4 linked regions of the Saccharomyces cerevisiae S288C genome follow. The protein of the gene in region 2 purifies or fractionates together with the protein of the main gene of each other region. This does not show direct contact. Each region holds a gene or a part of one and is shown on either strand. Other genes may lie near its edges. The genes, in order: NCE102, SGO1, MPD1 and NDI1.

Region 1 (7,297 bases), on a different chromosome or scaffold from region 2:
AGCTTACAATATCCATCCCCGCCTCGAAGGAGGCTCGGTTAATCACGCTGCACGAACGAAAACAATAGTTAAAGAAACGTTTAGAACAATCTAGCGCTTTGAAGAAAGAGTATTAGGCTCTTTACGTGAAGGATGGCACATTCTCATTCAAAAGTTGCTGCTAACTTTTATCATCAAATCAGTAAACCCCTTCTTGTTTTTTCTTGACAGAAGCTTTCACATAACGGAACCAACCATGGAATAACTTAGCACCACATCGAAAAGGATTTGGACTACTGCGCAACAAAGTGGGACCCATGTAGACATAGAAAATAAACCAGATCTATAGATCGCACCTATTAAAAACCCCATAACTGTACCAGTCGTCAAGCCTTGAACGCCTCCGTATAAGACGTACATGACGAATATCCATACACTTCCAGCCTTCTTTCTATGGGTCAAGCTAGCATACACACCAGCAGTAACGTAAAATGCACCATTAAAGATCAAAGTCCAGTACAGCGAAAATTTCCAAATGTCAGATATATAGTATAAGAATGCAGTATTATACTTCGAGTTGTTGATGGGCCAGTATAATGAGGGGAATTTTGGCGTTACATATCCAACAGGTATATCGTTATTTGTTACGAATGATCTGAGCACAGGGAACATGCGACAGAGTAGTGGATGTTTTTATTGTTAGTTTTGTGCCTATTATTTTCTTAAGCCACAGGGAGCGATGCCTGCATCCAGCCGTGGCGGATATAGTCTTGGTAATGAATAACATACCTCATAATACGGCAGGAAGTTGGAACTGATCTTGTTGGCAGTTTTTATCTTATACAGAAGCGTCAAGAGTAGGAAAAGGTTTTATTATTGCATATTTATCAACTTTCAGTATGTTTCTTTTTTTCTTCGGCAATGAAAGAGAAAACAATATAATTGAAGAAAGAGGAAATAGTGTCCGAAAGAGATTCTGATATGTATTATAAAGAGAAAGACAGTTCAGTAACACAGAATCGCCATGCGTGGAGAATGGCAGGAATTTAAGACACCTGCAGGCAAAAAGTATTACTATAATAAGAACACGAAGCAGTCTCGATGGGAAAAACCTAATTTGAAGAAAGGCTCTAACCTAGAAAGCAATGCGAAAGAATCACAGACAGAGAGGAAGCCAACATTTTCATTAGAACTGGTTAATGGTTGGCACTTAATAATATACAACGATGGTACAAAACTTTACTTTAATGATGACTCTAAGGAGTTCAAAAATGACATCAGTCAAGAGGACGACAGCAGGTGTCGCTCATTAATCGAGTCGTTAGATAAGGAAAAACTGGTTCTTCTGATTGGCGTTGCCAGAGGTTACACTATGCGGGAGGAGGACATTGATAAAATCCTCGAATCTTGCAACGAAGAGATTCATCTATTTAAAAGAAATCAAGACGAAGTTGAGAGAAAAGATGAGATCAGCGAAGAGGCGGGTGACGTAAAATCCCCTTTACAGGAAAGCCACACTGGGCTAGTCAGCGGGTATGGTTCATCTTCGGGGGAGGAAGACGAAGAGGAAGACGAAGAGGAAGACGAAGAGAATGAAGAACAAATTGTAAATCAAGATATCAGCATTATCGATGATCTGAATCGTATTGATACAGATGACATTGACGAGCGTAATATCTTCTTCGAATTATTCGATAGGTATAAACTAGACAAGTTTTCCACGTGGTCGCTGCAAAGCAAGAAAATCGAAAACGATCCTGATTTTTACAAGATCAGAGATGACACAGTTCGTGAAAGTCTTTTCGAAGAATGGTGCGGCGAGCGCAGTGGCAATGCCACCGCTGAAGAAAGCGATAGCGAAGATAATAGCGAAGACGATAGCGAAGTACTAGAACCAACAAAATACCATTATCTGGCACAAATTGTTGCTAATGCGGGAACAATCGCACCCGACACCATCCCACAAGATATAAGGAAACAACAAAAAGCGTTATACAAGGCCTACAAAATCAAGGAGTATATACCGTCGAAGCGCGACCAAGACAAATTCGTTTCCCAACTGCTGTTTTATTATAAGACGTTCGACTTGGAACAGCGGAAAGAGATTTTCTGCGATTGCCTACGGGATCACGAACGAGACTTTACGGGGGCAGTCGAATCGCTGCGTCAGGACAAAGAGCTTATCGACCGATGGCAAACACTTCTGAAAGCACCCGCGGACAGTAGTAGTATAGAGGATATATTGCTGAGCATTGAGCACAGGTGTTGTGTCAGCCCAATAGTGGTGACGGAACCACGCTACTACGTCGTGGGCATTCTGGAGAAGACCGTGGTCTGGGTGCGGTGGCTAGCCGCCGAGGTCGGGCCATCAAGCCGGTTTACCCCAGTGGGCGCGGGGAACGAGCCGATAAATCCGGAATAGGAAGGGCAGACCAGGGGAGCAAAGAGTGATTAAGCTTACGCACCTGGTATGGACGTGATGGAAGTGGGGTGGTGATAGCAACCAGAATACGGTAGGGTCTTTACGCTTAGTGTACCTATCGGTATTCAGGCTCTTTGCCAGTGATTGGGGCTGCGGGATCCGCCATCATATCTAGTCACTTTTGTATAAGAATGAATGATAAGAGCAGGTGCAATTTTCGGACTTTAGATGTTTCTTGTGTTTCATTATTTATAGCACATTTATTTTTTCCCTCTGAGTGTGTGTCTGCATGTATACATTTTAGTTGAATTATAGAGAGTAACGAAACACACACGCATACACGTATATACAAAGACATATATACGTACGGAAATAGTGAATAAGGATGATTTTATTAAAGAGGACAAAAATTAGGGGCGTCAGCGTCTCTTTTGTAAGCTTGCAAAGAAGGACTCACAGCAGACTGGTGAACCCCATAAGGCAGCAACATCAACAAATTACCAAGCAAAGGAGTTCAAAGATTTTAAAGAATGCGCATTTCTATGACTTTAGATCGCTGCCCAAAGTACCTACTACACAGTATTTGGAAGCTAGGGAGCTCACCCGCGATATTCTGTATAGCGGATACAGGCCAGTAATGTACCCAGTGAAGGAAAACCCGCTATTCAGAGATAAGAAGAGAAAGTCCTTGCAAACGTTATTAACAATGAACGAGAAAACAAACGCAGAGGCGAAGACGATCGATGAGAAAAAGCACAAGAACATATTGTTTGGTGAACGTGGCACTGGTGGTATAATGTCAGGTGGCGTGAACGGTACATGGAAGTACAATCCCACCGTACCCAATGAGCTGTTGCCATTCAATTGGTGGTCTACGTCCAGTATGGGTATGGAATATTTTCCTGAATGGAAAAACGTGCCCCCATATATGATGAGAAAGTTGAAGCCGTTTGACAAGGCACTGCAAATGCGGTTGACACACAAAAGCAAAAAAAAGATGAAATAAATAATAAATATTTGGCATATACATATGGAAAATGATTTTATAGCACGATTCCTCATACATAATAATAATAATAATAATAGGAAACAAAACTATTAATTTTTGTAACCGATTTGAACTCACATTAGGGATCCACGTCACGCCGTGCGCGGAACGGTAGGATGAAAAAGGATAAACAGAACTTACATACAAAAAACTCAAATCAACGCAACAGGTATGTAGTGAAGTAAAACTAGACAAAGAGAAGGATACTTTAGTTAGATATAAGAATAGTATGAAAAGATTAAAAATTAAAATATTAGAAGAACAAATTATAATAAAAGAAAGCGGGGTGAATGATAATAATAATAATAATAATAATAATATTAGTTAGAAATAAGACTTCTTCATAATCGTTAATGAAGAAGTGCATATGATTTGTTATTTTTTTTCTGGTATTTTTTTCATTTTTTTCGGGTTTTCCTTGGGTATAATTTTTTGTTTCTTCCGAAAGACGGAAAGGGATGAGGGAAAACGGAGTTTTCTTATTTGCTTTCTTTTTTCCCTAATTTATTCACGGTGTCCATTTATTATATTCTTAATTGAAAGTGGCGTAAAATTTAAGTTGGTGCGCTTCAATTAGACTTGGGAAATGGTTGGAACACCGACTTGGCCAGTTCTTCTTCTCTTGGAGAAAGAACCAGAACCAAAGGCACCATTGGAGATCATGTTGAAAACAGACATCAGGGTCTTAGCCAAAAAGATGGCACAAGAGAAGTAGAGGAATGCAACAGCGGCTTGAGCTTGTCTACATCTGGTACCGGAACCTTGAGTAATCTTGTTACTGTCAACGTATGAGCTGTTGTTACATGAGTGAGCTCTGATACCAACGGCCAACACTGTACCGGCAGTGAAAGTGAACACAAAGTTCAAAAAGTCCAGTGTGAACAAAACTAGTGGCCATGCCAATGGTTCAATGAAGTTGGCAAAGACACCGTACAATGAATCGGTGAATATACCATATGCACAAGCAAACATACAGTAGTTTACTCTGGAGCTGTGCCTATGTTGGGTGTTTAACAACGAACTGATTAAACCGATGGAAATAACCAAAAATAGGAAATTTATTATACGTAGAATGTTATCAGCTAGGGCTAGCATTATGGGATTATATTGTTATTAGGTATGCTTTGAGAAGAAAAGTTTTTTTAACCGATTTTTCTTATTGAAGATGTTTTTTAAAGAAATGTTTATTTATCCTTTTAAAAAAGCGCGATGAGCAGAAAAATTAAAAATGTAAAACCTTTTCAATTGTATTTTTTCTTGATCAATTGCGAACAAAATAGTGGTATAAGTTAAATTTTCTTAAAAAAAAAAAAGGAGACGTAGAAGAAGAAAGAAAAAAGTATCTTTTAATTACAAAACAAAGACTCTTTTATAAAGGAAAATCTGACAGAAGATTGGGGCCAAGGAATTTATAGGGGTATGATTTTTCTGTATACATATATGAGGAAGAGGGGAGGGAAATGGAAGAAGAAGTAGGAAGAAAAAAAAATCAAACCAATTCTAGTCAATTCCGTTAAGGCAGCAAGCTGCCCATAAGTTTCTGTGAGGGGGCGATCACTTTTATGTTTTGGGCATTTTAATTATGACGCAGAGGTCCGCGGACAAGGGGTTTGCGATGGACCTTTTAAAGCAACCTTGGGCCTACCTCAGGGAAATGCCCCTACCAACGTCACTAACGGGCGTGTGCCAAATGGGCCGATGCTCAGATGCGGCCGTTAAAATGGGGGTGGTGTTTCGGGGCCCCGTCCGTATGTGGAAATACCAAAACAGTAGGGACATGCATCCTTACATCATCCGGTCAATCATCAGGGTAATACATATTTTATACTTAATCCGAGATTCGGACCCCTAGTGACAGAATTAACCGCATAGAACCTCTCAAGCCCGTTTACAAACAAAAGCCGCATTGCATTCTCCTTCATGGGATGGTTTATCGAAATAGTTGGAATTCATTCAACAAGGATGTGATGCAACTACACAACAGTATGCTGAATGAAGGCCTATGGAAATAGCCGGGAGGAGGCAACAGTTCCTTTGTATCGGCAATCGGGCTCCGCGAGAAAGCCGCGTATTCCTCCTGGCTGCTTCCTTTCTCACCGCTGCCGAAAAGCTTAATTATCTGTATAGTTTGTTCCGATGAGCGAAACGGCGTTAACATCAAGGGTTAAGGTAGGGAAAGTGGGAATGACGAGAATTTTTTGCTACGCTTTTTTAGCAATTTAGTTTTGGAAATATTGTGGCTGCTCTTAATTGTCCGCCTAAGGAAAAGACATGAGCAACTATGCAACATAGGACAAAAGAAAGAAGAAAAAAGGAGATCTCCGGAGAGGCAGGCGGCTTTGCCGTTGATTGTAATCTCTTTGTTCAGGAAATTGATATAGTTAATTGTATATGGGATTAGCAGTTCTATTTCATGGATTGCAAATCAAACGTGTGGCTCCTCGAGCGGTAGAGACATCTTTCCCGCTGATGTGTGCAACTTCATATATGTTCATATATGAAATTACGTTTGATTGGGCAAACATATTCCTGCTTTAATAAATATACTCAATTGTTGCAGTTCGTGAAAATTGTAACACCACCTTGAAGTGCATTTCACGAGTGTGTAACTGGGCATTTTATGAAACTTCTTGAGTACTACTTGTGTAAAGAAAGCGAGGTTAGCAGTTTAGTTAGTTGGCTCTGCATCGCTTTTAACGAGGATTACTTCTCACTCTTAAATCGCTAGTTGGCTTTTTTTAGCACTCGACACGCATATCCCAGTTTTGGTTTTCATTTCTCTTGAAATAATAATGATCAGGGAAAAAAAGGTTGCAATACTTATACATCTGAACAGCAAAGTTAGGTAAAACCATAAAATTCTGGTTAGAAAATGTCTGGTTATTTTTCAGGGTTTTCTCTAAACAAGATCACCGATTCAATTGCCACCGCTGCTCACAAGACCCAAGACACTTTGAACAATGCATTAGCAAATGCAAATGTAAACTTAAATGACCCTCAAACAAGACTATCAATCAAATCGCGAACTAGATTTGTTCAGGAATCATTGGGTACTGTATCAGATATAAGTAAATTACCACCACAGTACCAATTCTTGGAGAAAAAAAGTGATTCCTTAGAGAAGGTATGTAAAAGGATTCTACTGGTGTCCAAAACGTTCGAAGTAGAGGGCTACGACTATCCACCAAATTTAACGGAGAGTATTTCGGATTGGTGGTCTCTCAATAAAGATGGCTGGTTTGGCTCTAAAAAATCCGAAAGTTCCACTAAAAAAAAGGGATCTAACCATGACGATGCTTTTTTGCCAAGGTCTTTTGCTCAAGCCATCTCAAAAGCCGCTGTTGACTGCGAATGTGAATTTCAAAATTTAGAACACAACGAAAAGGCAGAACTAAAGAAGAAAAAGGAGTCTATCAAAACTGCACAGACAACGGAAGCTCAGGGTGCCGACCATAATGAAGAAGACGAGGAAGATGAAGAAGATGAAGAAGATGATGAAGATTTGTCTAATTTGATCAAAGTTTTCGATTCGTGGTCGACATGCTATAAAAATATCGATGAAGGGAAGGCAGAGATGGATTCTATGATGGTCAAGGAATTCAACAAAAAATTAGAAACATTAATAAACCAAGACTTCAAGAAGGTCCATGACCTGCGCAAAAAAGTGGAAGAATCAAGACTCAAATTTGATACAATGCGTTATGAAGTCAAAGCAAAAGAAGCAGAGTTAGAGGCGAAAAAAGCTGAAGCCACAGGAGAAGCACATAGCAAGGATGTTAGCGCAAAGGACATTAGCGCAAACACTACCACCTCTTTTGACGAAACGCCTTCTACCGAGGATGAAAAGC
Region 2 (8,404 bases):
AATTTGGATGAAACATATTTTATCCACAAATTCAAACACCGTAGGACACCTAATCTAAATTCATAAACTCCATTTTCAATGTCTTGCGGATGTATCACATGCTTAGTGTTGTCGTTTTTATTGGAAAGTATTTTTGACCATCTGTGAGACTTTGACTGAAATCTTTTCAGCGACAAATTATGCCTTTCCATTTCGTAATTCTCTAGGAATTCAAACTTTTTGAAATATTGTTGAATTTGCAGCCTGCATTCCATGTCAAACTCGTCCTTTTCCGCATCACTCATATTAAAGTCATCTAAATAGTTTTTTTCAATCTGTTTTATTACCTTGTTTAATTCGACTAGGAACTTCAATAGTCTTGCACATTCCTTAATAAACGAATCCCTAAACATTTCACACGTTTCATTAGAATTCCCGAAGTCCTCTTGTTTCCTTTCAACATGATCATCTATACCATTTTGCTCATTTCTAGCATCATCGATAACAGCAACATACTTACGGAATATTGGTGTTAAATCAGACATCATGAGTTAATAAGCTCTTCACTGCTTTTACGGGTGATTTCCCAGCACCGGGGGAAATGATACTAGACGTATGTGTATGTATTCTAGTTATTCTCATTCATCTGAGCTCACAAGTTGGGTAGGGTAACGGAGATCTTTCCTTGTTGGCAGTTCTTAATTAAATGTGCCCTTTTCAGAAAGATACCAGCAAAGGTAGGAATGATTTATCATTACATGACATGTATCCATATTCCAGGATGGATCATGCGAACAAGCTTCTTTCCCCTCTCGTCTGTAAAGGACGGGATTGAGATTCAATTAAAAAATTAGTTTCATTGGAAAAGGCCAATAAAATATGCAAAGGTCCCGTCATTATACTGCAGCTACCTCAAAGAGATTAGCTTTGTGTCCTCAACGTAGGACCGCATTGAACAGGTTGGAAGAGGTGTTGCTTTTTTGACCTTCTTTCTCAAACTTAATATTTGGTGACGCGTTAAATAGAAAAAATGAAAAAGACCTTAATTGACGCGTTTCCTGAAATATTTACTATAGCATAGCTGTAATTGTATTTTCTAAACTTGTAAGTGACTGTGTATATCAAACAATAAAGTATCAAGGAGAGAGCTTCATAACAGAACGGTACAGGATGACTATGGACGGAAAAAACAAAGAAGAAGAGCAATATCTTGATCTATGCAAAAGAATCATTGATGAAGGTGAATTTAGGCCAGATAGAACAGGCACTGGTACGTTGAGTCTTTTTGCACCACCCCAGCTGCGTTTTAGTTTACGTGATGATACCTTCCCACTACTAACGACCAAGAAGGTTTTTACTAGAGGTATCATACTTGAACTATTGTGGTTTTTGGCCGGTGATACAGACGCTAACCTATTGTCTGAGCAAGGTGTTAAGATTTGGGACGGTAATGGATCTCGTGAATATTTAGATAAGATGGGGTTCAAAGATAGGAAAGTAGGAGATCTGGGGCCCGTTTACGGATTTCAATGGAGGCATTTTGGTGCTAAATACAAGACGTGCGATGACGACTATACTGGACAAGGTATTGATCAATTGAAACAGGTTATACATAAACTAAAGACAAATCCCTACGATAGAAGAATCATTATGAGTGCCTGGAACCCAGCTGATTTTGACAAAATGGCTTTGCCGCCATGCCATATTTTTTCACAGTTCTATGTCAGTTTCCCCAAAGAAGGAGAAGGATCCGGTAAGCCCCGCCTTTCATGCTTATTGTACCAACGTTCTTGTGATATGGGGTTGGGAGTACCATTTAACATTGCATCATATGCTTTGTTGACTAGAATGATTGCTAAAGTTGTCGACATGGAGCCAGGTGAGTTCATTCATACTTTGGGGGATGCACATGTTTATAAAGACCACATTGATGCCTTGAAAGAACAAATCACCAGAAATCCAAGACCATTCCCGAAACTAAAGATTAAAAGGGACGTTAAAGACATTGATGATTTCAAGTTGACAGACTTTGAAATTGAAGATTATAATCCTCATCCAAGAATTCAAATGAAAATGAGTGTATAATTGACAGCACGAGGAGAAACAAAATCATGTACTTACGTATATACACACAAAATCGAATGTATATAATACAATGGTTTATTATGCAAAAATATAGAAATTATTAAGGAACACCAGGGCAAAAAGACTATATATCATTTTTTGGTGCGATATGTTTTTGGTTGATGTTTCACTGCCTTACCATTTCCAAATAAATCAAATACTGCTAAATCATCTTCATTTAGTCTAAAGCTAACAGATTTATTATTAACATTATTAATGTTTGAATTGTTATTGTCGAAATTGTTGTAATTGTTGTTATTATTACTGGTTCCCTTTGACGACTTGGAGGGTCGCGTAGTAGAATTTTCATCAGATAAATTATTGACAATTGCATTTTTGAACAATTTTTTAGTTCTTGTTGACTTTTTCTTATTCTCCGATTTATTTGTAATGTCAAGTAAAGGCGACGATTTTTTAGGGCTATTGTTGCTAGTTAGTTTTTTTTCGTTTTTGTTGTTGCTGTTGTTGTTGGAAGTGGTCATTAGATGAGCGGTATCCTCGTGTATTTCATCTTCCGTTTTTTTCCCTTTTGGAGTTCCATAATCCTTTGAGACGACGACTTCTCTCAATTGCGGTTCGTCGGGTATTGAATCTTGGGATAAACTTTTCCTTTTATGTGAAGTTTCCCGATTTCTCTTGGAAACCTGTAGATCATGTATATCAATCACAGTAGTAGCATCCACAAGTTTTTCTGAAGGCCTCCTCATTTTGGCTCTTAAAGAAGGCAAAGTGTAATCTACAGCTTTACCACGAGTTCTTCTAGTTCTCGTAAATGATATTTCGCTGTTGCTGCTCATGTTACTTACGGGCATGACTTCGTCAATAACCTTTTTCTTCAGTTCTATCCTAGGCGGCTTCATGGAATGCTTAATTTTGGTCTTTGGATGAGAATTAGTAGAAGAACTTGATGAAGGATAGACCGTTGAAGCATCGCTAGTGGTAGTAGGTAAAGTTGCGGATGGGCCTGGTAAAGGCAACGGCAAAGGATTTGACGGCACTGTACTTAGCATATTTGTACTGTCATTGAATATTTCTAGTTTAGAAGATGAATGCTCGGGTTCTGTCGGATTCTCCTCTGGTATGGAGTATTCTATAATTGAATTGGTAAAATTACTGACAGAATCGCTATTTTCCTCTTCAGGGTTTAAGGCATCTATTGTTTCCTCCACTTGCGCAGACTCGTGTGATTCTGCCGGTACCTCTACAGAGGAATTTTCCATCATGGGTTCGTTTTCACCGGTTTCGTCTTCAGGTTCTAAACTCGTGGATACAAACATAGATTGCCGCCTAGAACTCTTCCTTTTTTTAGCCTTAGGCTCAAGATCTGGACCATCGTCCTTGTTAAAACTTGATTCATGCGACAGGTTATTCTCGTGATTTGATAACCTAGTGTAACTTTTTGAGTATGTGGGTGATGACAATGAGCATGATCTTGACCTGGAACTCGTTCTCTTCAACATTGTTCTTAAGCTCGAACTGGGCAAATTTTCGTTTTTACGTACGTTCTCAAACATATAAAAAATTTCGTCAAATCTTTGAATAATACCGTTTTCAATGACTTGTAGTTGATTACTTAACCGTTCCCTGTAGATAGCTTCGCTTATAGAGGTTTTAGATCGTAGAGTCACGTTTTCTTGTACCAGCTGGCTTATTTTTTTTTCCAAGCTATTAACTTTAATTTTTAATATGGAGTTATCCTTGGCCAGCAGGGAGTTTTGCCTCGAATACGACTGTCTGATGTTTTCCACTTTTTGCGATTCGAGATCCATTAGGTTTTGAAATTCTTGTATTTGTGGGGTTAAATCATCGTGGGAGACCGTACGCCTGCTGCTTTCCTTGTTAGGAGCAATTTTTCTCTTCGGCATGGTCAAACAATAACCCCTCTATACCCAATTAAACATATATATGCGTGTGTAAGTAATATAACCCTGCGCCTAGCAGTAGTTGTAATGTGGAAATGGCATTATCAATATTAGTAGACGCTCACTTTGTGAAATTTCTTTGTTTACAAAACAAAAGGGCCTTGAAAAAAATAAAAAAAATCTGTTACCCGACCAATAGGAAATAAATAATCAAAAATAAAAGGGGCGAGCTGGGAATTGAACCCAGGGCCTCTCGCATGCTTTGTCTTCCTGTTAGTCAGGAAGTCGCCCAAAGCGAGAATCATACCACTAGACCACACGCCCTTGTTAACTTGTTGTTAAGACTACTTAGTCTTGAGTATCACACTGCATTCAGTAACATATATTCTTTTAATCTTCTGGCTGAGAACTCCAAGAATAATCGCTAAAAATACTCAAGGGTAAGTACCCCAAACAAAGTTCTGTCCTTCTTAGATATTTTAAATGAGGGAAACTAAATCATTAGTTTATTATTTAGATGCATTTTTCCCAGCTTTAACCTTTTTATTTAAAGGAAATTATAAAAAAAATTTTAAAAAAATGAGTTTTGCGTATCCAATAAATAATAGACAAGATGCTGTCACAACAGTATTAAAATTTCTGAAAGATTCTGCTGTCTCTGGACTGTGTAATACAACAATTCTTCGGAAAACTTGATTCGGAATAAACAATGGTCTTTCATTTATGGAAAATTTTCTTCTTTGTCTCGGTCACTAAAAAAAGCCTTAGCAAAGCTATATAGAAAGAAAATAGTGATATGGTGTATTTGCCGTAAAACTATGGTTTATCCAAGGTCGCCTTCAGTAAACTTTCGGAAATATATTCATCGGAGATATATTATATAATGAGTACATAGCAATCTAATCATGCTGGGTCTTCTTGCACCCCAATGAAACCATAATCATGTAAATGCTTGAAAATTCCGGGCATACTATCCTCTTCCTCAATAACCCAATCGAAGTAGAGTGCTAGTTGTGCACTATGTCCTTGCTGCTCATTAAATAAATTTACTGACAGTTTGGTGGAATTTCTTTGTTCGATCAGATAGTACTGTTAGGTATTTGTTGACATTTACTTCCCTATCACATCAGACCACTGTTTCTCCTTCCTTTTTGCCATCTTCTTACCTATTATATGATAATATAGTTCAAAAGGAAATACCAGTCAATGAATGATAATTGGCTCTTACTCCAACCGTTCTTAATCTGGACCAGTAATTGTTCTTATGGTGAAAAAGTATGGTGACGTCTTTACTTTTAAAAATATTTTTAACAGTTGAAGGAGCTCCCCGTGTACATCTTGCCAGATCTTCAAGAGAAATGTCACCAAATAAATTATGAAATTAAAGTACAGCGGTAGTGATAAAAACGATCATCAAGTAGTGCCATCCGATATTTCGTGTCAATTTCCAAGCTCATGATTTATGACATACAGGATTTTCAAGAATATTAAATCTTGTTCCTGAGGAATTTTTGATAAATCCAATAAATAGTAAATAATAAGAAAAAAGACAGAACAACAACGTTTTGGTGGGAGAAAGGCCACTTCTCTGACCAGACTAGAGTACTAATATTTACGACAAATATACTGAGACCGTGACCAATGGTAGAAGGTGATTGGCTTGAAAGAAATGCCAACATTAAAGCACATATCACTGCTCTTGATATCAGTAGAGTTGCAAAAAAATTATACTACTAAAATCAGCTCAACGGCAAGAAGTTACTAAGCACAGCAGAAATTCTGGAGCTAAAGAGAATAATATACATACAAGACTGACTGAAAACTCTGTTTTCCACATGCAGTGGACTCAAAATATTCAGTTGAAGAAGCAAGCACAAAATTGGATCAACCCGTCGCGTCGCGGCCGCTGCTGCAGGCGACAAATCCACTGGCAAATTGTACGCGGCCTCGTTACTCCTACTTGAAAACAGAAGTAACAACAACAAATTCAAGTTTCTACGAAATGGGTCTCATGACGACAAGGTGCGCCCCCCTATCTACCTTGTTGTAAGTCTGGGACCTGGGGCTAATTTCTCATCCCCGGAAACAAAAGTATACAACTACGTGGCTAAAAATTTTTTAGTATGCAGCACATAGGATGCCAAGGAGCAATTTTTAACCCTGGCAATCTGAGCTACTGAACGGCCGCCTCAGGACTCATAGTTCTCTATATATAATTTCTCCATGTTTCTCCTTGTGCCTGGTGGAAAATATCAAGTAGTTGCCGCGACATAAAATGAATGCCTCGTAGACACCGCGAAGCCGGAATGAAGGCGGACACTACGGCACCGCCTCAAACCCAACGGCCGAGAGCGAGTTCATCTCCCTCATAGATGCGAACGGCATTGGCACTGACGCCATCATTGTAGAACATATAGACAAGATTAAAATGCGTAATCACATCATGAATGGGAAGTTAGGTGCGGTCCACTACCCTGGGGGCCTCACTGGGGACGTCATCACCCCCAAAGCACCTCAATAAGTCCATAAATAAATATATAAAAATTACTGAATAATAATAAAAAAAATAAATTAGTTCAGTCTAAAGAAATGGAAGCAAAAACCTCAAAAAAAAAATTTTTTTACGAAGACTATGCTTCCAAGACTGACGTCTTAGAGGCATAGTCGAGAAGAAAAGGAATTACTGGCACAGAACGACAAGAAATATCGTGTCGGCGCCAAGGCATCTATGTAACTACGTCTTGTGATCACCGGTATAGCTGGGACTATTCCGTTTCATCATATGATCTGGCCGTCTGCGCTTGTACATTCTGGGCGCCAGGCGTAAATGACCAGAGTAATGTCTTGCTGTAGTCGTCCGTCGCCACAGAAGCGCGTGGACGCATGATCGCGCGCAGCGACCGGTCGGTTCGCAAGACGGTTGGCAATAGGAGTTTCCTGCTGACCGCCTTATTAATTTATATGAAAGAGGAGAATTTGTCATCGGGCTTTCGAATGAAATAAAACAGCTCCTTTAAGTAATGGAACTGGAAGAAGGAAGAGAATAAACGACAGAATTTTCGTGCTCGGAGCGAACACCGCGCCGGGTTACGAACAACAGTGGCCACTACTATAATAGTTATGGAGTAGACGTCAGAATATATAGCGCAGGCGTCAGAGTATAGCGCGGGCGTCAGGATATAGTGTGCCAATGTAGCGTGGTTGCATGCAGCTAGCTTTTTAGTTGAGTCAGACCTGCTCCAAAAAAAGAGGAACACAACTTTCGTCAGCATGTGTTGCTACCGCTATTTGTTCTTCGGGGAAAAAAATTTGCATTCGCTATTGTAGTTTTAATTTTCCTTCTCTATTCTCATAAATAGAGTTAAAATCTTATAAACTCCAGAATTATCAAGAACAATTACCTATATTATTTCCTATTGCAGAATTTATATTATTCTTTATTGTACTGATATCCCCATTATAACTATCAAAAAAAGGACTTCAGCACCTGTATCATCATGAGCTTCAGTAGTATAGTCTCTAAGTTTTTGAGATATTTAGAAATTCCTGCCAAAAATAGGACTGCCGTGAATTTTCTGAGGAACCCTGATTTGCAACCTATCAAGTCTGCAAATCAAACATGGGGGTTCTGGTCTAATTTGGCGTACTGGGGCGCTGTGTCCTTTACAGCAGGTACATGGATGAGTGGTTCTGCTGCACTAAGTGTCGGCCTAAGTTACCCAGAGACCATTGTTTCGTTTCTTCTCGGTAATGTCTTGACCATTATTTTCACTATGGCCAACTCTTACCCCGGTTATGATTGGAAAATCGGTTTCACCTTGGCCCAAAGATTCGTTTTTGGCATTTACGGTTCAGCCTTCGGTATCATCATTAGAATTTTGATGAGTATTGTCAATTATGGTTCCAACGCTTGGTTGGGTGGTCTATCTATCAACATGATATTAGATTCCTGGTCCCACCACTATCTGCACCTGCCCAATACTTTGTCCCCAAGTGTTGCCATGACCACCAAGCAGTTGGTCGGCTTCATTATTTTCCACGTCCTCACCGCGCTCTGCTATTTCATGAAACCCTACCATATGAACTACCTTTTAATTTGGTCATGTGTAGCTACTTGCTTTGCCATGCTGGGTATAGTGATTTACTTGACTAAGAATGCCCATGGTGTCGGTGAATTGTTTACCTCCACAAAATCTACCGTTACTGGTTCTAAAAGAGCATGGGCTTGGGTTTACATGATTTCATACTGGTTCGGTTCCATTTCTCCAGGTTCCACCAACCAAAGTGACTATTCAAGATTCGGTTCCTCCAATTTGGCTATCTGGACCGGTAGCGTCTGTGCATTACTAATCCCAGCAACCTTGGTCCCAATCTTCGGTGTCATTAGTGCCTCCACCTGCGACAAATTATACGGTAAACAATTTTGGATGCCCATGGAT
Region 3 (7,742 bases), 390 kb from region 2:
GAAGTTGAGGACCAAATCAATCCAACAAGAGAAACGAATGATGATATTTGGCGTGTTGCTGGTAAATTTGAACTATTAGATAGAATTTTGCCTAAGCTTAAGGCAACTGGGCATAGAGTATTAATTTTTTTTCAAATGACCCAAATTATGGATATTATGGAAGATTTTTTAAGGTACATTAATATCAAGTACCTGAGGTTAGATGGTCATACAAAATCTGATGAACGTAGTGAGTTGTTACGTCTATTTAACGCCCCTGATTCTGAATACTTGTGCTTTATCTTATCAACTAGAGCGGGTGGTTTGGGTTTAAATTTACAAACTGCAGACACTGTCATTATTTTTGATACTGACTGGAATCCTCATCAAGATTTGCAAGCTCAGGATAGAGCGCATAGAATAGGTCAGAAGAATGAAGTTAGAATTCTAAGATTGATTACTACGAATTCAGTTGAAGAAGTTATCCTAGAGAGAGCCTACAAGAAGCTAGATATCGATGGTAAAGTCATTCAAGCAGGTAAATTCGATAACAAATCTACATCGGAGGAACAAGAAGCGTTGCTTAGATCTTTGCTGGATGCAGAAGAGGAACGTAGAAAGAAAAGAGAGTCTGGTGTTGAAGAAGAAGAGGAGTTAAAAGACTCAGAAATCAACGAAATTCTTGCTCGAAATGACGAAGAAATGGCTGTTCTTACAAGGATGGATGAAGATAGATCAAAGAAGGAGGAAGAATTGGGAGTAAAGAGCCGTCTCTTAGAAAAGAGTGAATTACCTGATATTTACAGTAGAGATATTGGTGCCGAGCTCAAACGTGAAGAATCAGAATCTGCTGCTGTTTACAATGGAAGGGGTGCAAGAGAACGTAAGACGGCAACTTACAACGATAATATGTCTGAAGAACAGTGGTTAAGACAATTTGAAGTTAGCGATGATGAAAAAAATGACAAGCAGGCAAGAAAACAACGAACAAAGAAGGAAGATAAGAGCGAGGCGATTGATGGGAATGGAGAAATTAAAGGCGAAAACATTGACGCTGATAATGACGGTCCTAGAATTAATAATATATCGGCCGAAGATCGGGCAGATACGGATTTGGCAATGAATGACGATGATTTCTTGTCTAAAAAGAGAAAGGCAGGAAGGCCCCGTGGAAGACCTAAGAAAGTGAAACTTGAAGGATCTGAAAATTCTGAACCACCAGCGCTTGAATCAAGTCCAGTTACTGGCGATAACTCTCCCAGTGAGGATTTTATGGACATTCCAAAACCACGTACAGCGGGAAAAACATCTGTTAAATCAGCAAGAACTTCAACAAGGGGCCGTGGTCGCGGTCGTGGTCGTGGTCGAGGGCGAGGACGTGGACGAGGAAGGCCGCCAAAAGCAAGAAATGGGCTTGATTATGTCCGCACGCCCGCTGCGGCAACGAGTCCTATTGATATTAGAGAGAAAGTTGCTAAACAAGCTCTAGACTTATACCACTTTGCTCTCAATTATGAAAATGAAGCTGGAAGGAAACTTTCTGACATTTTCCTCTCCAAACCTTCCAAAGCACTATATCCCGACTACTATATGATTATTAAGTACCCTGTCGCCTTTGATAATATTAACACGCATATTGAAACGCTAGCTTACAACTCCCTTAAAGAGACCCTTCAAGACTTTCATCTGATATTTTCCAATGCTAGGATATACAATACTGAGGGTTCAGTAGTATACGAAGACTCTTTAGAACTGGAAAAAGTGGTTACGAAGAAATACTGTGAGATAATGGGCGATAACTCACAACTCGACTTTACTGAATTTGATGAACAGTATGGCACCAGACCCCTCGTCTTGCCTCCTGTTGTTACTTCAAGCGTGGCTGAATCTTTCACAGATGAAGCGGACTCGAGCATGACAGAAGCGAGTGTATAGTACCTTCCTAAAGCAATATAAGTACTTATTCGTTTATACGTAGACAAACATTAATCCCTCTTTTTTTTATTGTACCCATTAACCGAGTTGGGATGTTTAATATCTCTAGTATAACGTGCCGTATATTTCCTATATATATATATATATATATTTATATATATTAGATTTTAAGTTAATTGTTCAACTAATTGATCGATTTCGCCTCTTATAATTCTGCTATACATATTTATTTTAAACCATCTCTTTGAACAAAGTAATATGTCGTCATCATAGTGAACTTGTTCTTGGACCTAATTATAAATTTTCCAATACGGAACAAATTATTTGTTCCAACACCCTGCTAGCAACACAGGGCAATATATATAAAGAAGATATATCTACTACTTCTTTTCCTTGAGTATATGTCTTTAATAGATATTTCATGTATTTGATTCATCTTTAATGGAAATACTCGGAGATTATATACAGGTCCGAGATGGCCTTAAAGATATTTCCCACAAATGTATTTACCACTCATTAGAAATGAGTTTCTGTTGTATTACGGGCTCGAGTAATACCGGAGTGTCTTGACAATCCTAATATAACAGTCTTAGGGAAGTAACCAGTTGTCAAAACAGTTTATCAGATTAATTCACGGAATGTTACTTATCTTATATATTATATAAAATATGAATCATACTAAGTGGTGGAAGCGCGGAATCTCGGATCTAAACTAATTGTTCAGGCATTTATACTTTTGGGTAGTTCAGCTAAGGAAGGACGGGTTTTGTCTCATGTTGTTCGCTTTGTTATAAGGTTGTTTCATATGTGTTTTATGAACGTTCAGGATGACGTATTGTCATACTGACATATCTCATTTTGAGATACAACAGTTTCAACAGTCATCAGGGCACATGGCGCAGTTGGTAGCGCGCTTCCCTTGCAAGGAAGAGGTCATCGGTTCGATTCCGGTTGCGTCCAATTTTTAAGCTTGATCAATGTATAAAAGCATATTTTTTTTAATGTTTCTAAGACTAACTAACGAGGGTTATTTTCTAAGCCTCTATATCTTTTAACTGTTTGTTAAATTCCTCATAAGTTATGGAACTTTTTTTGCCCTCGTACCTTATTACTTCAATGAAATAAGTTTCAAAATTATCCATTACTTCACTAATATTGCCCCAGTAACCCGCCTTCTCGATTAAATTGGCAAAGGTATCTTCTTTATTCCAATGTTGCTCAGGCATAACATCAGGTAAAAAGGTTGCGCTACATGTGGTGCCTGTTTTGGGATGCTTAAAATACAGTTCAATACCGTGCTTTCCGAGTTCCCAATCGAAAATGTCCCCATTTGGATTACCACCACCTCGAAAAATAGTTTTGAAGTTGCCTAAGATGTTGCAACTGCATTTCAGGTCCACCAATTCCCTTTTCTGGATCGGAGAAAATCTCCTATCCTCTAAAGCAGCAATCAAGGAATATTTCTCAATACCATGTGCAATCGGCATCTTAGCAAATGTACCGATACATCCTCTAAGTATATAATTCTCTTCGTTAGTGTCTATTGTGTGATGTTTATTGGACTTTTTCTTCCAAGTTATGAACAACGAAGTTTTCTCATTGTAATCTATTTTAAAGTCGGGGTATAGCCTTCTTCTAATATCTTCTAAAGAAAGGCTGCTCGATTTCCCCGGATTCAAGTGCGAATAAAGTTGATAAAATGCGTAAAACGCAAATGGCGATGAACCTTTAGGGCCTTCCATTGATATCTTTGCAAAAAAACTGGATTTTCGAAATAGCCTTAAAGCCATTACTATCGCACAAGCCAAAAACCATCTTTTCAAAGGATCTTATCTGGATACAAATTGACGCAAATTTCTCTTTATATTCCTCCTTTGTCGCCCAGTGTCATGTGCTTATCCCTTGAAAAAAGGGCCGTTGTTCGAGCCTTGCGAGGCGTATAAAAATTTGGTAAAAATTAAAATTGACACGTAAAAGTTAAATAACATGAAGAGAAATATCTTTTCGCAGTCATTTTCAACAGTAAGCATCCACTTAACACAATTAGGAGAGACAAAATTTGACATATAATGTTATTTCTTAATATTATTAAGCTCCTTTTGGGACTTTTTATTATGAATGAAGTAAAGGCGCAAAACTTTTACGATTCCGATCCTCATATATCAGAGTTAACGCCAAAAAGCTTCGATAAAGCGATCCATAACACAAATTACACATCATTAGTGGAATTTTATGCTCCGTGGTGCGGCCATTGTAAGAAGCTCTCTAGTACGTTCCGCAAGGCAGCAAAAAGATTGGATGGTGTAGTCCAAGTTGCTGCTGTAAACTGTGACCTTAACAAGAATAAGGCTTTGTGTGCTAAATACGACGTAAACGGATTTCCCACGTTAATGGTATTTAGGCCCCCAAAAATTGACCTATCTAAGCCAATAGATAACGCCAAAAAAAGTTTCAGCGCTCATGCCAATGAAGTGTACTCAGGTGCAAGAACTCTCGCGCCTATTGTTGATTTTTCTCTTTCAAGAATAAGGTCATATGTCAAAAAGTTTGTCCGTATAGATACACTTGGCTCTTTACTTAGAAAGTCACCCAAACTTTCCGTGGTGTTGTTTTCCAAACAAGACAAAATTTCACCGGTTTATAAAAGCATTGCCCTTGATTGGTTAGGAAAGTTCGATTTTTATTCAATTTCAAACAAAAAACTCAAGCAACTAACCGATATGAACCCAACATATGAAAAAACTCCTGAGATTTTCAAATATTTGCAGAAGGTCATTCCTGAACAGCGACAGAGCGATAAAAGTAAGCTTGTCGTTTTTGATGCAGACAAAGATAAATTTTGGGAGTATGAAGGGAACTCAATCAACAAAAATGACATTTCCAAATTTCTGCGGGACACTTTTAGTATTACCCCCAATGAGGGTCCTTTTAGTAGACGTTCTGAATATATTGCTTACTTAAAAACTGGCAAGAAGCCAATTAAAAAGAACCATTCCTCCTCAGGAAACAAGCACGACGAATTGTAGTGGTACGTTTCCTCATTCAATGATTATCTAATTAAACACAACATATGTATCTATATAGTCCACTAACTGATGGCATGGACGTTTACTTTTATTTGCAATAATAACTTTTATCTGAGCGGTTAAATACCGAAAGACACGTTTATTACCCGCTTTGAAAATTTTCAACCGATGAGCTTGCCTTTCTACCGGAAAACTGGGGCATAAGAATAAGTACTAAATAGTATAATTAAATTGCCATCCAAAAATTGTATAGAGGGTCAATAAGCACTAGAAGGTTAAAAATGTCGTATTACTTTAAAAATCTGAAGCCAGACTTGAACTCCGACGTAGAAGAAGATGACGGAAACTTATTGGAGAGCATAATGGCGAACAAAAGTAAGCGAGAAATTGACGAACAAGAATCAAGTGACGATGAGTTGAAAACCTTGTCTTTTGGTTCTTTGAAGAAGGCTGAAACGGTAATAGATGAAGAAGATTTCAAAGATACGAAACCCGTTCACAAAAAACCGATCACAACTACATACAGAGAAGAAAGTTTTGATGAAGATGAGGACAGTGAGGACCAATCAGACGAGGATGCTGGATTCTTTGAAGAAGATAGTGAGGATGAAACTCATCATGGTCAGAAAGTACCAAAAAAGAAGAGCAAACACGCTCCAGTAGAACAATCATCCAAGAAAAGGGTACCACGAGTCCGAAATATCCCTGGGCTGGAAATACCGAGGAATAAAAGGTCTAACCTCTATCAGGACATCAGATTTGATAAGTCCACCGGTAAAGCCCTTGATAGTTCTATCATAAGAAAACGTTACCAGTTCTTGGACGAATATAGAGAAAAAGAAATTGATGAACTGCAGAAGCTGTTACAAGAAAGAAAATTTCTATCAAAAATAGACCAGGGAGAACGTGAAGAAATGGAACAAAGACTGAAAAGTATGAAATCGAGATTGCAATCAATGAAAAACAAAGATCTCGAGCGTGAAATTCTCAAGGAATACGAAAATGATATGAATAAAAACAATAATACGAGATACCATTTGAAAAAGTCTGAGAAACGTAAAGTGGTGCAAAAGTGGAAATTTGATCACATGAAGGCCAAGCAACGTGAAAAGGTCATGGAAAGGAAAAGGAAGAAGAGATTGGGTAAAGAGTTTAAACAATTTGAATTTCATAATCGTAGGTAGAGTATTTAAGCAAAAGAATGCACATTAAAGTAATATATAGAGAAAGATAAAAAAATAAACGCACACATAAACTAATGGAAGTAAGAGGTTATCCGCGAACCACAAGGAGAAAATCGAATGAATCGGAGAGGTGACAACAAAAAATTTGAAATACACAAAAGGTTGTCTATATACAGGATATATCGATTATACTTGTTTCTTTTTGGCTTATTTTTTGGGCTTAACGTCAGCACCACCTTTAGCTAACCACTCAGTAATAGAACCAGGATAGATACCAGTGTTTTCGTACCCATAAGATCGAGCCAACTCTTCGGCAGTTTTGGCTCTTACTCCTTTCGCACAAAGAAAAATCAATTCTTTATCGTGAGGTGGTTTAGCAAATTGGAAAACTTTGTGAAACTCCTTTTCGGGCAATCCAAGAGCGCCAGGGGCACTATTCACCGGAATATTTATTGTAGTTGGCATCTTGTAATCCTTTACTTCCTTGGGTTCCCTTACATCTACCAATAGTTTTTTATCATTGGGGTGTTCGACTAGGTTCCTGACCTGGTCAAAAGTATAGATCTTTGGAGCCTTCGTTGTAAATGTTCTCAGGACCAATGTAGGCGATCTTGCAGAAACTGTCCTCGAGAGAATACCTGTACTATGCTTGAACATCGTTGGTCTTTTTCTTCTGTCTCGCTTCCATTTGTTGAGAGTTATCGCTATCTTATTCCATTCAGATTAAGTTTTGTATTTTTTTTTTTATACTTCCTAATTTCTTTGCGCCGCCGCTATCACAGCCAATGCAATAGGCAAATATTATGAACGGTGTGACATAAATGGCATAATACGTTACTAGCTTACGAAAATACACAGGGTACATACCTAGAGTATACAAGGCTATAAGTCAAGTTTATCACCCCCATGAGAAACCCAATCATTCATAGAGCCAGGATATAGTGAGGTGTTTGAATATCCATGTGAGGAGGCGACTTTTTGAGCTTCTCCCCCGCGTTTGCCAGAAGCACAATAAAATATTAGCTCCTTGGCACTGTCAGGTTTTGGGATGCCAATCTGTTTCTCAAATTCTAAAGGATCTAAGGCAAATGCGTCAGGGTGCGATCTATATGGCACATTGATGGAAGCAGGAATATGAACAATCGAGTACTCAGATGGTTCTCTAACATCTACCAAAACCACATTAGGATCATGCTTTCCAACGATTCTTTTCATGTCTTCAAAACTGTAAGATTGAATATTTGAAACATTCTTACTTTGACTCTCGGTTCCATTCCAAGCATTCATCACGGCCTTCCACATTTTAATATCGTTTCTTAGTCACAAACCCTGAAAATAAACGAGAAAGAATTCTTTGATTGATTAAGCCTCCACTCTCTTTTATACACCTCAAAAATTCTCCCCTTACTTCCTTCCCCGCGGGTAATAATATTCTCCAAAAAAAATACAAAAGCAATCAGATGTAACTTATATAGGTTCCAAGATAAATAACAAATTATTTGTCATTGCAAGTAGGAAAAGGACATACCGTAGGTGATATCTGGATTTGGGCCTTATGGAAGCCAATCTTAGTAGTAATTCGTCCATATGTCTACCAAAGGGGATAACAAAAAAGTAC
Region 4 (8,134 bases), on a different chromosome or scaffold from region 2:
GTCCAATATGGTGTGTTTTATAGTGTTGAAAGATATGAATATTCCACAAGAATTAGTATTGGAAAACATCAAAAAAGCCAAAGAGTTTTTCCAATGACTGAGGTGAGTAGACGAAACATTCGGCAATTGAGTGTTTGCGGGGCATAAGAATTATAAAGCTTTCGTTACGTATATACAAATGGGATTTGGCGTATAAAATAAATAGAGAAACATAAGAGGAAGAAATAAATAATCACAGATATATATATAGGACAATGGGAGGAAAAAGCTGAAGTGATCAACCAATCTTGTCGGGGTTTTTTGCTTGTGCATTAGTCAAGCATCATTTCGAAAAAAGTGGGAATATATAAATAATAAAACATCATGTGCATTTTTTTGTGCGTGTGTGTGTGTGTTAGGTTTTGTTTAGAGGGTTTTAGAAAAAAAAGGATGCAAACTCAGGAAAAAACGGTGCCTACCACCTTTTTTCCTTTTTCCAGAAAAGGGCATGTTAATTTCATCTATAATCCTTTAAAAAAGTCTCTTTTGAAAAATGCTAATTTAATCCAGTCGAAAAAGACCTTTAATCTCGATCTTGCAGATAGAATCATGGACAAGTACAAAATTCTCCATAAGTAGAAGGTCATTAAGCCACCACCGGTGTAAAATGTTCTCTTACCGGAACGTATGGTTGCAATGGCCCTTTCGGATCCCAGGTATGCTAAGGCACCTAAATCGTTGTATTTGAAAGGTTTAAAGTTGTTCTCCTCGAACAAGAGATCAATTTTATCCTTTCTTGAAGATAGATTCTTTTGGAAATTTGGTATTTGAGCCATTTTATCAAAATTCTTGGCCAAATATTCGGCCTCTTGGTGCGCTACTTGGGCGGTTGGTGGCAACCCAGCAAATGCATTGTCACCAATGGCGAAAATGTTGTTGCTGCCTTTCACCTGCAAAAAGTCATTCACTGCCAATCCTCTCTTGGACGAGTTTTGCTCAGGAATTTTCTTGAAAAGGTCAGTGATTACCGGTCTTGCCTTGTTACCCGTGGCCCAAATCAAAGTACCGTATGGAATAGTTTCTTCGGTTATTTTACCGTCTTCGTGTTTGGTCTTTGCCAACAATTGCTTTTCTTCAACTTTGGCGACAGCCGTTCTCAGATGTACTTTGATCGAAGTGTTTTCTAAATGTGATTGCGCGTATGATGAAAGCTTTTTCTCAAACATATTCAAAACGATGGGCAGAGCTTCGACCAAGTGAATTTGGACTTCTTCGGCCAATGCAGGGAGAAACTTTCTCAGGTCCTGGTGAACATAATCCTGTAGTTCACCAGCGGCCTCTACACCAGTAGGCCCACCACCAACCACGACAATGGACAGTAGTCTTCTTCTTTCGGGATCACCCTTTGGCAATAAGTTAGCCTTCTCTAGATTGGCGGCAAAAGTTCTTCTTATTTCCAAAGAGTTGGGAATTTCCTTCAGGAAATGACCGTAATCAGTGACCCCAGGAATACCAAATGTGTTAGGTTCCGCACCTACAGCACTGATTAAATAATCGTACTTAATTTCAGCAGGTTCTGCTTGATGCAGCCCTAGATGGTTTTCAGGTTGGTATAGCTGGCTAACGGCAGATAATGATTTTATGGTAACGGTATTCCTGTCGGGATTGATAGAGGTGGCTTCTGCCTCATAGTAGGTAACGTTCCCCTTTTTCTTGAGAGCAAAATTAACGATGGGCTCAATAATTGACTTTTCGTCTACTGTCCCAACTGGTGCAGAAGGTAACAAAGGCGTAAATAAGAAATAGCTTCTAGGAGAGATGATGGAAACGTTGTACTTCTTGGTGTCAATGTGCTTTAAAAACGAAATAGCTCCCCACCCCGAACCCAGTATCAGCACGTTTGGTTTGTCGCTGTGCTGAGGGTCAATGACTTTCATGGTCTTAAAAGATGTAGGACCTGCTCCGGAGTTTTCCACCCCTGTGGATCTGGTGGAAGCGAATCTGACTAGCGTATTCGTCGAGGTGAGCAACCTCTTGTTACTATACAAATTCTTCGATAGCATAGTGGTTTTTAGTTTCTTCTCTTGGGTAAACGTGTAATTCGATGATGTGATGAAACTGACACCCTACCTGAAACTCCTCAATTGGTAGTTAAAACTCCTTCCCCACTATGCCCTATACATCTTATATATACCCTGTCGACGTTGCAAATACCGGCAATAACCAAGAGCGCTAAGGGGGAGCACTCTTATTGTGGTTACCCGGACGTTCAATGCCTTCATATGATTGGTCCGAATGAATAGGTCATGAGAAAATGCATATTTTTGAGGCATTTCAGCAATGATCGGCAATCTGCACATATTCGTATTGTTTCCCTGAGTAAGTTATTTGCGGAAAGAGACATTCTATTGCTTTGGAGTATTTTGTGGTCTTCGACAATAAAGCGAAGGAATAATAGGTTCGTTGCTAGCGACAAGCAACACATAGTTGTAGTGATGCTATAGCAAAGAAAGGTCACAGATTCATTATTGACCTTTTAAATGGTGCCCAGTGGCAATTGCCGTTTTAGCATTCTTTAAATGCGTAGTATATGAGTTTTAAAGTGCTTTGTTGTTCACGTGCTTTTCACGTGTATGATTACTTAACCGGGTAGCGCCGGTCTTTAATATGCTTTCCAGATTAGGAAAGAACATAAATAAAAACACAAAATAAGAAAGTGTCAATCATCCGCATTGAAAGAAAGAAAAGATTTTTTTATCCCTCAATTGTACATGAAAACAGAGACCTTTCAAAACGTATTTTAACATTCTTTTACTCTTTTCTTGCACCTGCAGCCTTAGGTCAGTAAGAAAAAAAGTAGGTAGCAATGAGCCCAAGTCCATCAGTGTCGCCAAGAAGGACGCTCAATAACAAATCATCTTACATCAATAACAGCGGTGGGCTGGTCCTGCCTCCTACGCAGTTTAATTTGAATCAGCAGCCAGTCCTGAGCTTCCAACAAAAAGCGACTTTCGATTCCAACCAGCAGTTTTTCTATTATCCAGAGTCACCCACAAAAAACCTGAGACCAAGGTTTAACAGTATTTCGCAGGTTAATAAAGGAGTTAATGAAGACCATTATACCGGGGGCGGTAGCAGTAATAATAACAGGCCATCTAGATATACAAATACCATGGGCGCTGCAAACACCAATGTAAATTCCCATCCGCATCATCAGTCGGTGTCGCATTTAAATTCTAAATCTCTTAAATTCAATCAAACGAAGGAAGTGAGCAGCATAAATGAAATTATTTTTCCTTCCAGAACGTGTACAAAGAAACGGTATTTTACCAAGCCAATTGATTTGTATGGTACAAGAAGTAGCACTAGTGTGGCACCTAAGTTGACGAATTCTCCCACGAAATCAAAAACAAATTTCAACATCAAGAAGTGCATCTTACCTAGGTCCGTCGTTACCACATATAAATTACCATCTCCAGTGCACGAAACGATAGACGATATATCCAAAAAAATCATAATCCTGCTAATTTCGTTGAAGTTTGAGAAAAACTATCACTTCTTGCAACCTATTCAATTGTCCACAAATAGTAAGACACGGATCTCAAAATCACTAGACGAATTATGCGGAGTGCAGCTGACATCAACGTTACGGCAACAAAAGCAGCTGCAAGGTAACAGCAAGCCCGTAAAGAATCTCCCTAATTCCAATGCGAAGCAGAGAGCCGGGGCCAGTGTTTCCACAAATGCCAACGAAAGCTTTGAATTGAGTTTTGATGGAAAGGCAATGGATAGATCTGATATATTTCGAATGGTAGATTCTTTTAGCATCGCCATTTCAGATGAAGATGAGGAAGATGAGGAGGAGGATAGCTTTCAGCAGAGAAGTGCGAACAACAGAATCCTCCCTGCGGAGATACTAAGTAATGAACCTTTGAAATGATACGGATTCTCTGTATTCTGTCTATAGTATTTATATACCAATACATTTTTCCGCACTTTGAAGTTTTGCATTTTACTTAATGTAGTTTATTATTAGTTGCCAAAACGAAACATTTAACATGTGAATTAAAAATACAAAAAAAAGCCTATTAACGATCTAAATTTATGACAAAAGACATATAATTATTTTAATGATGCCTTTGTCACAACCGAACACAATATCTTTGAAAAGTGATCCAGCAATCGAATTCAGAATTCGTTGTGCCATTTTTGCCTTACGTTTGCGCCATTGTAATTTCTCTGTGCCGTCTTCTCTTCACTTTATTTCAATATTATCATGCAGTAAACAAGTTGCAGAATAATAAATAATATACGTACCAAATATGTGAACAACTCAGATACTATTCATTTGATATGTTAAAAGTCCTGCATTCCTCTCCCGACATTATATATAAAATGCTCAGCCACCCCTTCGTTGCACAGAAAAAAAGGATGACCTATAATACCAATATTCAATCACAATAGTTATACCAAACTAACACATGGTTGAAGCAGACTACTTACTATCGTGGAGTTAGCTCACTGAAAATTTAATATTTACAGCATTAAACAGTTTTTTCTTTTGTTTTGTCTCCTACATTAATTTCAATATGGATAGCCAAGTAGAAGGCAAAATATCCCCCTCACAGAAGGAGTCCTCCTCCACCTCAGGCCTCGTTTCACCTAGTGAAGATGGCCCAGCACATCAAAAAATACACAGAGACCAATTAAGTGTGGATCAAATCAAGAAAATCAGAGAAGAACGTGCTCAGAAGAGACAGGTACGTAGGAACTCTCTAATATCCCAAGGGAAGGACCCTGACTTCCCAACGCCTGACTTACAATTCATTGAAAGACCATTCCTCCCTATCAACCATGATAATTCGAAAGGTCTTACGCCAGCGACCATACAAGTCACCCAAGATTCATTGGACGTTAAAATAATGACCTATAATACTCTAGCACAAACCTTGATTAGGAGAGATTTTTTCCCAGAAAGTGGACCAGCGTTAAAGTGGCATAAGAGATCAAAAGTTTTGGTCCACGAATTGAAAAAGTACAGGCCTGATGTAGTATCGTTGCAGGAGGTCGATTACAATGAACTCAACTTCTGGCAGGAGAATTTCCATAAGTTAGGGTTTGATGTGATTTTCAAAAGGCATGAAGGGAAAACTCATGGACTACTAGTTGCATGGAACAATAAAAAATTCCAGTTAGATAATGATTGGATGCTGGACTACGATAATATATTGGCGGGAAATGTCATTTCAGCAAGAACAAGAACTAAAAATATTGCCCTTATTATATCGCTATATTTCAAGGGTATAACAGATTCATCATCAAGAGGAATTATCGTCGCAAATACACACCTATTTTGGCATCCCTTTGGGGTATTTGAAAGATTAAGGCAATCTTACTTGGTTTTACAAAAGATCCAGGAAATTAAAGCATGTTCCAAATATAATGGCTGGCATAGCCTACTGATGGGTGATTTCAATACCGAACCTGAAGAGCCACCGTACTTGGCCATAACGAAAAGACCACTGATATTAAAAGGCCCAATAAGAGCTATGGTGGAATGCTCACTAGCGTATCGGTATTCAAAAAAAAGGAATGGAGAAGAAAGTGACCAGGATGATGAAGAGTGTGATGAAAAGTCTAGGGGCGAAGGCCATTCAGATCAACCACAAAACCCAAAACCAGAGAGCTTTACAGCCACAAAGGAAGAAAAGGCTCTGGTAAATCAATTAGTTGCGTTGCATAATTCACTACATGTGAAAGGCGTATCTTTGTATGGGATTGGCTACGGTAAAGTGCATCCTGAAAATGCTAACGGAAGCCACGGCGAACCGGGACTCTCAAACTGGGCCAATACATGGTGTGGATTATTAGACTACATATTTTATATCGAGGGTGATCATAATCAGGACACGCGTCAGAAAGAGCCTCTGAATGCTTTTGAAGGAAATAACAACGTAAAAATAATCGGATATCTGAGGATGCCGTGCGCACAAGAAATGCCCAAACACTCCCAACCTTTCGAGGGAGAATATGCTAGTGATCACATTTCCCTAATGTGCCAAATACGCTTGTTTTTTGGGGGGGAGAAAGTGCATAGCTTAAAATAAAGAAACAATATATATAAACAACCTACATTTGTGTTTGAAAGACAGTAATCAACGCTTCGATGGTCACTGGGATTTTTCTTTCAATTTAGCGTCACTTTCACCTTATTCACAGCTTTTACGTGCTATTTTTGGTCACCCTTCCCCTTTCGTTGCGCCTCAACGGGCTAAAAAAAAAAAAATAAAATCAAGCATAGAAACACCACAACAAACCTGCCCTTTTTCCTTGTTTCAGGTTACGTGAAAAGCATCCAGAGAAGATATCCCAAAGACTGAAGAGGTGTAGTTGGCTCATTCACGTCGTTCGTTTATATTATCAAGGAAGGGGTTTTTGATCGGCTCGAACAAGACTCGCAAGAATCCGTTTTCTATTGTTTTTTTTGAGGATTCCAATATGTCAAATTCCAATTCAAAAAAACCTGTTGCGAATTACGCATACCGTCAACAGCAAGATTATAATGGGATGAACGCCATGGTGGGAAATCCAATGATGTATCATCCTGTTGATTTCGTAAACGGTGCCGGCCAATATGGTCCTTCTCAACACCCAGCATATTACACCAACTCACCATTACCTAATATTCCACCAACACCTTTTGATACTGCATACGGTGCCAGTCTTTTTCCATCTCACCTATTGATGGGATCTCCATTTGTTTCCTCGCCTAACATGCAAAGTGGCTATAATTCTGCAAGATCATCTAATCTCAAAAGAAAGGCTTATTCGAGGCCCGTTTCTAATCATAACGGTTACAACGGAAACAGTAACAGTAACCAAAACAATACTAATAACGGAATGGTAACACCCTCGAACTATTATAGAATGGGGAGAAATTCTTTCTCGAGGAACAACAACAGTACGAGGAATGTTACTCACAACAACAATAAGGGGTGCGACACCCGGAACAACAGTGGAAGAAGAACATTCGCAAGGAATAACATTTTCGACGACATACTTCCAGAAATGCTTTTACAAAGACCCTTTTGTATTAATTACAAGGTTCTACCGACTGGTGATGATGCTTATAGAACTAGGTCGCTGCTTATTGAAAATGTGGATCATTCTATTGATTTACACTCTATAGTCAAAAATTTTGTCAAATCCAATACTCTGGAAAGTGCCTACTTAATTGAAGGAGGGAAGAGCGATGATTCAAAAGATGTAGAGACTAAAAATCTATCCATTCTAATAAGCTTTCTAACCAAAGGCGACTGTTTGAACTTTTACAATAACATTTTACAAAGGTTATCTGAATTCAAAACATTTTTGAAATCTGAAGCACTAAATCTGAAATTTGTTTGTCTAAACTATGATCCCAAATGCCTCCCTACCTTTATTGAGAGTGAAGCGTTAACAGAAAACGCTGAAGAAGCCGACATTACCAATGGTTCAACAATGATCAGTGCTTCGCTGCATCATAATATAGCGAACAAAGATGCTACAAGGTCGATTATAATTGAATTCAAAAGCCCCGTGGAGAAAAGCGATTTATTCAAAAAGAAATTACAATTTTTGGACAGGTCAAAAAACAAAAGATACATTTTGGAATCTATCGATTTAGTGAACACAGATGTACCTTCCAATCAATTTCCTGAAAATTACGCCGTTTTAACCTTTTTGAATATCTCTATGGCTATTGAAGTTCTCGATTATTTGAAAAAATACTCCAAAAACTTAGGCATTTCTAAATGTTTTTACGTATCCCTAGCCCCGTTGGTAGTTAGCTCAGCCAGATCTTCGGTTGCTAATATTTACGAGGGTAAAACGAGCACACATCGTTTATCGGTGCCTTCTGTTACTGCTGGGAACAATAACGATAGCAACAACAACGGAAACAATAATAAAAGTAATATGAGTGGTATCACCACACTCAATAATAATAGTAGTATTGGTGTTTCCGTATACGGTCACTCTAATATGAGTTTAACCAGTCTGTCATCATCTGTATCTTTAAATGAAGAGATTGATATGCTTGCGACGAAACTTCAAGGGGTAGAACTTGATGGGACTTATTTAGAAATCAACTATCGCGACTATCAAACACCAACTA

What was found.
Region 1: the proteins of SGO1 (region 2) and NCE102 purify together in Saccharomyces cerevisiae (affinity purification with mass spectrometry, with the first as the bait; one large-scale study listed by BioGRID). This does not show direct contact.
Region 3: the proteins of SGO1 (region 2) and MPD1 purify together in Saccharomyces cerevisiae (affinity purification with mass spectrometry, with the first as the bait; one large-scale study listed by BioGRID). This does not show direct contact.
Region 4: the proteins of SGO1 (region 2) and NDI1 purify together in Saccharomyces cerevisiae (affinity purification with mass spectrometry, with the first as the bait; one large-scale study listed by BioGRID). This does not show direct contact.

What each region holds. Positions count from the first base shown.
Region 1 is NC_001148.4:827,165-834,461, reverse strand, and holds NCE102 (Nce102p), read right to left. Parts: upstream 4,545-7,297; coding exon 4,023-4,544; downstream 1-4,022. Other genes in the region: MAY24 (May24p), read right to left, coding at 217-634, 769-773; URN1 (Urn1p), read left to right, coding at 1,004-2,401; SUE1 (Sue1p), read left to right, coding at 2,787-3,407; YPR148C (uncharacterized protein), read left to right, coding at 6,322-7,297. UniProt on the Saccharomyces cerevisiae protein: Involved in membrane organization. Required for the formation of membrane compartments of CAN1 (MCCs), localization of CAN1 at the MCCs and subsequent invagination of the plasma membrane at the MCCs sites.
Region 2 is NC_001147.6:460,335-468,738, reverse strand, and holds SGO1 (Sgo1p), read right to left. Parts: upstream 3,969-8,404; coding exon 2,196-3,968; downstream 1-2,195. Other genes in the region: UFE1 (Ufe1p), read right to left, coding at 1-527; CDC21 (thymidylate synthase), read left to right, coding at 1,150-2,064; YOR072W-B (uncharacterized protein), read right to left, coding at 4,109-4,270; YOR072W (uncharacterized protein), read right to left, coding at 6,923-7,237; NRT1 (nicotinamide riboside transporter), read left to right, coding at 7,463-8,404. UniProt on the Saccharomyces cerevisiae protein: Plays a central role in chromosome cohesion during mitosis and meiosis divisions by preventing premature dissociation of cohesin complex from centromeres after prophase, when most of cohesin complex dissociates from chromosomes arms.
Region 3 is NC_001147.6:849,319-857,060, reverse strand, and holds MPD1 (protein disulfide isomerase MPD1), read left to right. Parts: upstream 1-3,983; coding exon 3,984-4,940; downstream 4,941-7,742. Other genes in the region: SWI/SNF catalytic subunit SNF2, read left to right, coding at 1-1,914; YOR289W (uncharacterized protein), read right to left, coding at 2,949-3,704; rRNA-processing protein RRP36, read left to right, coding at 5,222-6,124; thiosulfate sulfurtransferase RDL2, read right to left, coding at 6,332-6,781; thiosulfate sulfurtransferase RDL1, read right to left, coding at 7,007-7,426. UniProt on the Saccharomyces cerevisiae protein: Participates in the folding of proteins containing disulfide bonds.
Region 4 is NC_001145.3:27,766-35,899, forward strand, and holds NDI1 (NADH-ubiquinone reductase (H(+)-translocating) NDI1), read right to left. Parts: upstream 2,043-8,134; coding exon 501-2,042; downstream 1-500. Other genes in the region: Rag GTPase GTR1, read left to right, coding at 1-97; YML119W (uncharacterized protein), read left to right, coding at 2,846-3,919; NGL3 (3'-5' poly(A) RNA exonuclease), read left to right, coding at 4,569-6,086; NAB6 (Nab6p), read left to right, coding at 6,478-8,134.